Linked DNA regions of Arabidopsis thaliana. The protein of the gene in region 2 interacts with the protein of the main gene of each other region in a pairwise test. Each region holds a gene or a part of one and is shown on either strand. Other genes may lie near its edges.

Evidence for each region. Proteins that work in one complex are often made in the same cells at the same time.
Region 1: the proteins of SEP1 (region 2) and AT4G05630 interact in binary tests that used the Arabidopsis thaliana proteins (3 or more experiments, as listed by UniProt).

Annotation. Positions count from the first base shown.
Region 1 is NC_003075.7:2,987,923-2,990,812, forward strand, and holds AT4G05630 (B3 domain protein), read right to left. Parts: upstream 901-2,890; coding exon 526-900; downstream 1-525. Other genes in the region: AT4G05631 (uncharacterized protein), read right to left, coding at 2,084-2,266, 2,648-2,713.
Region 2 is NC_003076.8:5,150,790-5,155,844, reverse strand, and holds SEP1 (K-box region and MADS-box transcription factor family protein), read left to right. Parts: upstream 1-1,591; 5' UTR 1,592-2,077; coding exon 2,078-2,262; intron 2,263-3,113; coding exon 3,114-3,195; intron 3,196-3,285; coding exon 3,286-3,347; intron 3,348-3,436; coding exon 3,437-3,536; intron 3,537-3,626; coding exon 3,627-3,710; intron 3,711-3,847; coding exon 3,848-3,996; intron 3,997-4,124; coding exon 4,125-4,251; 3' UTR 4,252-4,511; downstream 4,512-5,055. UniProt on the Arabidopsis thaliana protein: Probable transcription factor. Functions with SEPALLATA2/AGL4 and SEPALLATA3/AGL9 to ensure proper development of petals, stamens and carpels, and to prevent the indeterminate growth of the flower meristem.

The DNA of each region.
Region 1 (2,890 bases), on a different chromosome or scaffold from region 2:
TAGCAACTGATAAAAAAAATATAAATTAGATGCCGATTATGTATAATTCAGAAATGTCATCAGATTTGTTACAACATGCATATAACCTTTTTAAAAGCCAAAATATTTAGGCACATAGAAATTGTATTAGTTAGATTAACGCGTGTTAAAATAAATTAAATTTTAATACATATTAATTTTTGTTTTGCTGTCTTGATTTATTATTTATTGCAAATTATGAGAACTGTTACACAAATGATTCTACCACAAACAATTCCTTTTTATGATTTACTATCAAAATATTATATTAAATTTGAATGTATAGATAAAAAATTTGGAGAAATTGTTTCTCTCGACTCTTTTATTATTTACATATATTATCTTATAAATCCAAATATATATATTTATAAATATAAGAGAAAAACATGTTCTCTAGAAACAGGAATTAAACCAACATAATAAAACGACAACAAACTGGACTCGATCAGACAAACCCGGTATAGATGCATATCCGAGAAATGAAGTTGTGAAGATTCGCTCCATCAATTAAGCAACATGTTTGAAATTTAGTCTAGTATGACGAAGATCCCACCAAAATGCAATAGTATCGCCTGCTTTGTAATGTTTTCTTTTTAGAATATCATTCCATCCATGAAATTTAAAATTATTTCCATCTTGTCTTATGATTACATATGTTGTAATTTGAGTATCAATATCATACACTCCAATCATCTTTGGCTTGTCTTGAACTTGTAACAACTGGACGAGAGTACTTATCTCCATGAAAGGAAATAAATTGGTTTCTAGTAACGCTTTTGGCATCATTATCGTAGTACTCCTATCGACGTCAAATGGTGACAACGTTATCATGATGTTATATGGGTTGTTTGAGTCATACTGCTTATCTGGAAAATTCGCCATGAGTTAGAACAGAAAGATATATGAAAAATCGGGTTTCAATGTTCCTTACTCCGTAAAGGCTTATGCAAGGTTTGTATAAAAATATTTGTTTGTGTTAAGGGTATATATAGTGACAATAAGTTGTACTTATGTACGTGGTTAATTGTAATTAAGAGCTTATACCAATAGAGAGATACTATGTTTTCAAGTTAGATTAAAATTAATTAATTGAATATGTTTTGTCTTACCCAAATAACACTAATTTTGTTTGATATATAGTTTCATAATATTATGACATATATAGTTTTGTAGTTATTGAATTCTAACACGTGTTAAAGTGAAATAAATTTTGACAGGCTGACTTAACATCAAAAAGTTTTGAAGTAAATGTCATTTAAGTATTTGACATTTTTTTGGCTCATGTAGTTGTGAGCTTGCAAATTTAACTCTATAAGATTCTGTAAGATTTTTTTTTTACTTAAGACAATAAATAGTTTTTCTTTTTGACCAAACTATTGTGGCACATAAACTTTAATTACATTCATTAGAAATATGGGTAATATGTTAATCAGTGAATTATATGTTAGAATATATATACACAATATTTTCATGAGTATAATAGATTCATTATTAATTGAACATGTTTTCTCTTTCAACAAAAGTAATAGTTAAGTTTTAGGGGATATTATTGGTTTATGATTTCAAAGGAGTTTTATTGACTTAAAATGTCATGTAAAATATGTTGTTATTCAATCAAGATAATATAAAACTATGTTAATGTTTTGTGTTATTCATTTAAGATTTGTAAAAAGTAATCTAAAATCTTCATAAATTTGGGGTTATTGGATTCATATTCTTATAAAGTCAGTAAGAGTTTTGTGGTATTCAATTAAAACAAAAGAATCTCTTATTGTTAATGATTTAAATTATTATGTTATTGGTTCATGACTTTCTATATTTTTGTTTACAAAATAAAGTCATAAAAAGTAATGAAAAATATTATCAAAATAGAGAGATTGTTTAAGAAACTTTACAAGATTATTGTGAAGCCTAATCTATAATTTCCGATTAGAACTTGCGACTTAGTTTAGGGATTTGAAAGAAAATAGAAAAAACGCAAACAAAGAACACCGAGATTTTACGAGTTCAGGTTCCGGTGTGGAACCCTACGTCTCGCCGGAGATTGACTCCGGAATCCACTAGATCATAGCTCAAACTCGAGCTCATACAAGTGACCGTTACAATCGCTCACCGGATTACAGTCACTCTCAAGCTTTCTCTCACTCACCAACACAAAACCAGTTACTCTCTCTACCTCTAACTCTAAGCTCACGTCTCTCGTCGACTTGCGTAGTCTCGTTGTCACGCTTCTCTTATCTGTTTCATTCTGTTACATACTCAAAGAAGAGTAGAGAAGAAGAAGATACAGAGCCAATGATAAAAGACCCTTTTACCCTTCTAGTTGTGACTTATTACTAATCTCACGTGTGTGCTTCTCACGTGAGCCAATGAAGGAAGCTTGGGTCAAACCCTCTGATTGCTTCAGATACTTATCACACTTTAGCATATATCTTGAGATCGGATGACACTAAACCTTCAAATCTCCACCTTGTCATCGATCTTCTTCACGCTCCTTATCTAGCTTCTTGGATTCCATCTCCGGTACTTGAGCTTCACCGCTCATCTTGAACTTCACCGTTCAACTTCAATGCTTCCTTGAAAAATTGTTTCCTCAATGCATCTTAAAATCAACATGTCTTGATTCTACTTGAAGACTTCCTCGCAGCTGCTCCTTAGAACCCTTTAAACTTGCTCTAACCTTGACAACTCCAATCTTCACACTTCAACAACCATTAGTGAACATATCTTCGATGGAAAAAAAATAGCTGTGATGTGAATCACACCGACGTTCCCGAACCATCGACGTTCTAGTATCACTTCTTGAGTTGTGAACCAACTTTAACACAGACTTGTGTCAACAAAAAACTCATGTTTGCTTCACTTGTTTCCT
Region 2 (5,055 bases):
TTAGTAAAAATGGCAATTTCAAAAGATCTCTATAAAAAATGGCAAAATCAACAATAATCCCTTGTCTATATGGTGGTATTTCTGCTAAAAGTGACTTATGGGTAGATTTTTTAGCTTCATAGATTCTTTGTCGAAAAAAAATTACTTTGTACATTTTAGTGGAGTTATTTAAATTTCCCAATTGAACAAAACCATATATTGATGAAATTCGCAAATGCAATCCAAAAATAAATATGTTCCACTCTTTTGGTTAGCTTTTAACTAAAGATGCGTTTTACTTTATGTAAGTGGTTGATCTTTTGGCAATGGGGGACAATGACTATACAATCTAAGAGATCATTTTAACGAATATCATTCATATTTCATCCTCTTCTTCAAATTTCAGTTTCACTAATTAACCACGTTTCAATTGTAGTGTATCGCGAGCTGTAAATATTATCTAATTTATGTTACATAATCATAACTGTAATCTTTATTAGACAAAAACATATATACCTCACTGCAAACACCTTCAAACATGGATAACTTGATTTAGGCATACAAATATTATTTCTCATTTATTTGATATGACCTATATTATGTGGCTATTTTATCAGTTTTAGTGTTTTTTATGATAATTGAACCACTTAAATGTTTATCTCATTTTTCAATTTATTTTAAACTGAATTAAAAAGTAAGAAAGTATGATCCAATAAGGCATCGACACATGGAAACCCATTTTAAGGTAGAAGATGCTTTTCTGCGGCTTCTGAAAACAACTAGAAAATGATATGATACGTTGCTTTCATTTATTGTAAGTATTATTTAGTTTTAATTCACGCGCTTCATATCCAGCTGCAAGACTACTACAACTTGCAATTATGAGACTCTCGTTAGAAAATTACCAGGTATAATTTAAAAACAAAAAGAACTAGAATATATTGGCAATTATTTGAAGTAAGAAAATATGAGATTCTTGACCGAGTTGTTAAACTATCAAACCCAAAAGTTTTGGTTAAAAAATAAGCTAGTACTATGTACATATGTTTTATGTTGAAAATATATTAAACTGTATGTAAGAGGGAGTGTACTTTCATTTTAGATATACATTTCCAGCTAGTACGAGGTCTCTATATATAAACTTTCTTAATATCGCTAAACAAATTTTACTTTCAAGTTTGTAATGTGATAAGTGAAAGACCGTATATACATACACATGTTAATCAACTGATAACCTTTGTGCCTCGTGTGTCTAGTTACTAGTCAACCATCAAACGTGCATGATGCTGTTTTTCTTAGAGTACTATTGTTGTGTTATATATAACTAAACATAAACAATTTGCTATTATGATATAAACATAGAATTTTCAAGCAATGATATGTTTAGATGTTTTGTATAAATATTCCATAAATAGTAGACACCCATATATACACAAACATGAATTCTACCTGAGGAGAAACACATAGATGTTCAAATTAAATAATAACCCTATAATGAAAACTCTAAAGTAAGTAATACGAAATAAAAATTTATCCTTTAAATAACATATAAACATATATATACAAGTTTAATTGGTAATTGTATCACAAGAGCCAATTATTTGGTGACTGTATCACACGTGCTTAAAGAGAGCGTGGGAATGAAAGTAAAGAAGAATAAAGAAGCAGAGAGATGGGCTAGAAATGAGAAAACACACCAAACCCTAACCTCACCCTCACACATTTCTTATCTTTTGCTCTCAATAGATTCCATTGATTCAAAACAAAATTTTCATTAAGATTTCACAACCTCCACACACTTCCAAACACAATTAAAGAGAGGAAAAAGAATCAATAACCCTATAAATAAAAAATCAGACAAACAGAAGTTTCCTCTTCTTCTTCCTTAAGCTAGTACCTTTTGTTCTTGAAATTAGGGTTAATTTCTTTTTTCCAAATACCATCAATTCTCCAGACCATAAAAACTCAAAAAGATCAGATCTTTCCTCTGAAAAAGAGATACCCAACTTATGTTTTTGTGTGTCTGTATATAGATAAACATTACATACCCATATTTGTGTATAGACATAAAAAGTGGAAATTAAGGTAACAAAAAGAAATGGGAAGAGGAAGAGTAGAGCTGAAGAGGATAGAGAACAAAATCAACAGACAAGTAACGTTTGCAAAGCGTAGGAACGGTTTGTTGAAGAAAGCTTATGAATTGTCTGTTCTCTGTGATGCTGAAGTTGCTCTCATCATCTTCTCCAACCGTGGAAAGCTCTATGAGTTTTGCAGCTCCTCAAAGTAAACAACTCTCTCACTCTTTATCAGTTTCTTGATTGAGTTTTTGCTAGATCTGAGCTTAGATCTTTGTCTCAAGGACTTGTTATATATAGATCACACGATCTTGATTTCTACGAAGTTGAGTTAATTAGATTTCTTGATTTCATTTTCTAGGGTTTTTTTCCAATTCTTGAAATTTAAGATCTGGTTTTTTTGTTGTCAATGATTTAGAACTGTGAATTTTGTAATCGAATAGATTCCAAATCCTGATATGCAATCTGAAAAGTTTTATATAATTAATATATGTCTGTGTGATTGGAAACTTAAAAGTTGTTCACAGATTTCTATGAAAATTACAAGTATCCAACGTAGAATGATAATATATGGTTACATGCATTAACCATTTGTTAGTTCATCATACTTTATGGTGGTTAAAACTTCAAACGCGTGTATATCTGTGAAGGCTTTGATTGTTTGTTTTTTCTTAAAAACAATGTTTAATAGATTTTTAATTATATGTTAAAATAGTTTTGCTTACATGCATTCAAGAAAATATAGCGATTAATTCCTTTTTTCAAATCACAATTTGTGAATCAAACGAAAACGTAAGATATTGCTTGCAAATGATAGGATTGAACTATTGATATTTGTAAATATAAATACGAAACTTTACGTTTGAAAGTTGAAACAATCAAATCCAAATCAACTCGTATATAATCAGATAAATAATGGAAACAATCTTCAATTTTGATGGAAGAATACTTTAAAACTTGAAGAGCTTTTTTTTTATGGTGATTTATAGGTTTAGATCTCCAAAGTCAAGTATGATCTTTTTAATAAACTCTTATTCTCTCTTTTTGAGTTATTTTCAGCATGCTCAAGACACTTGATCGGTACCAGAAATGCAGCTATGGATCCATTGAAGTCAACAACAAACCTGCCAAAGAACTTGAGGTGTTCTTAATTCAAATACTATTTTAGATTCCTATCATATCATTTCAAGAAAGATCTTTTTTAAAAGTTTGTTTTCGTGAAATATTTCAGAACAGCTACAGAGAATATCTGAAGCTTAAGGGTAGATATGAGAACCTTCAACGTCAACAGAGGTACATATCTGTCTACCTCCGTATATTTACTCAATTCTGTATCCATGTAGATTCATATTTGTAGGTGTGTGTGGCTTTTGTTGGTGCAGAAATCTTCTTGGGGAGGATTTAGGACCTTTGAATTCAAAGGAGTTAGAGCAGCTTGAGCGTCAACTGGACGGCTCTCTCAAGCAAGTTCGGTCCATCAAGGTATCTTTATACATGGAATCAATGATTCAAATGAGATTAATTTGTGTTGTTTAATTATAACTACTATGGTGGTATGATGATTGTTTGCAGACACAGTACATGCTTGACCAGCTCTCGGATCTTCAAAATAAAGAGCAAATGTTGCTTGAAACCAATAGAGCTTTGGCAATGAAGGTATAATTACAGAATAAATGCATTTGGTGCCTTGCGATCAATCTCTTTCACAGAGTTTAAGTTTCTAAACATTTTTGGAAACATCTCTAGTTTTCTTGTTTCTGATTATAGTCTTTTGGTGAAATGTAAATGTTTAGCTGGATGATATGATTGGTGTGAGAAGTCATCATATGGGAGGAGGAGGAGGATGGGAAGGTGGTGAACAGAATGTTACCTACGCGCATCATCAAGCTCAGTCTCAGGGACTATACCAGCCTCTTGAATGCAATCCAACTCTGCAAATGGGGTAAATCCTTTGCCTTAAACAATCATCTGCAAATCAGCTTGTGTACTTCACTACTAAGATTGTACTTATATAAGGTTCTTTAGTTACTTGGTGTAAAGAGGATCATCAATGTGTGTGAACCTTTTAAGTTGCTGTTTTGGTGATGATGATGATGATGACAGGTATGATAATCCGGTATGCTCAGAGCAAATAACTGCGACAACCCAAGCTCAGGCGCAGCAGGGAAACGGTTACATCCCGGGGTGGATGCTCTGAGAGTCATGTGCTGTGTTAAAGCTCACCAACAAAAGATCTTTTATATATATAAAAGTATAGACACAAGACTTTGGATTTGTAGACATAAGTGGCTATATATAATGGTCCTGAGGATCTTCAAGACATTTGTATCTTTTGGGAATCCTTGCTTATATTAAGAATTCAAATGTGTGGAACTTGTTTTAACACTGAACCATGACACTGGTTTATTATCATGTAATGAGAAACATTTGGGTTACAATGTGATCTCTCCTTGACCCAAATACCCAATGTAAACTATATGCCAAAATACAAGCATCACATATATATTCATAAATTCATAAAAGGTTAAAAGTAATCATACAAAATGATGTAAAAAGTTTCATGCCTTGAACAAAACACTGCGCCAAAGGCAAATCCTAAGAAACATGTCAGATTCCTGTGTGCATCTGTTCTGCTGCTGCTGTTGTTTTCTCTCAAGAGGGTTTCCTCAGAACTCCATAAGCCAAACGTGCAGAGAGACGTTTCCTCATTTCCCCATCATATACAATATCATATATTGTTAAAAAATATATTCACATCTCTCTGCTGCCTTGTCAATCTCCCCAGGTCCGGTCTAGGCAGTACAAGACAGGATCAATGGCAACAAGTTACGGTGTTTCGTGGAACTCCATCACCTGCAAATGAGACGAATTCACAGCAGAGAAAAAAATATTCTTTAGTCAACATGAATGAGAAATAATTCAAATGTTCTGAGTTTCAGGAAGAATGATTAGCCATATTTGTCATAGACAAGACAAGTAAAGATTTTACGCATGTGCTTCT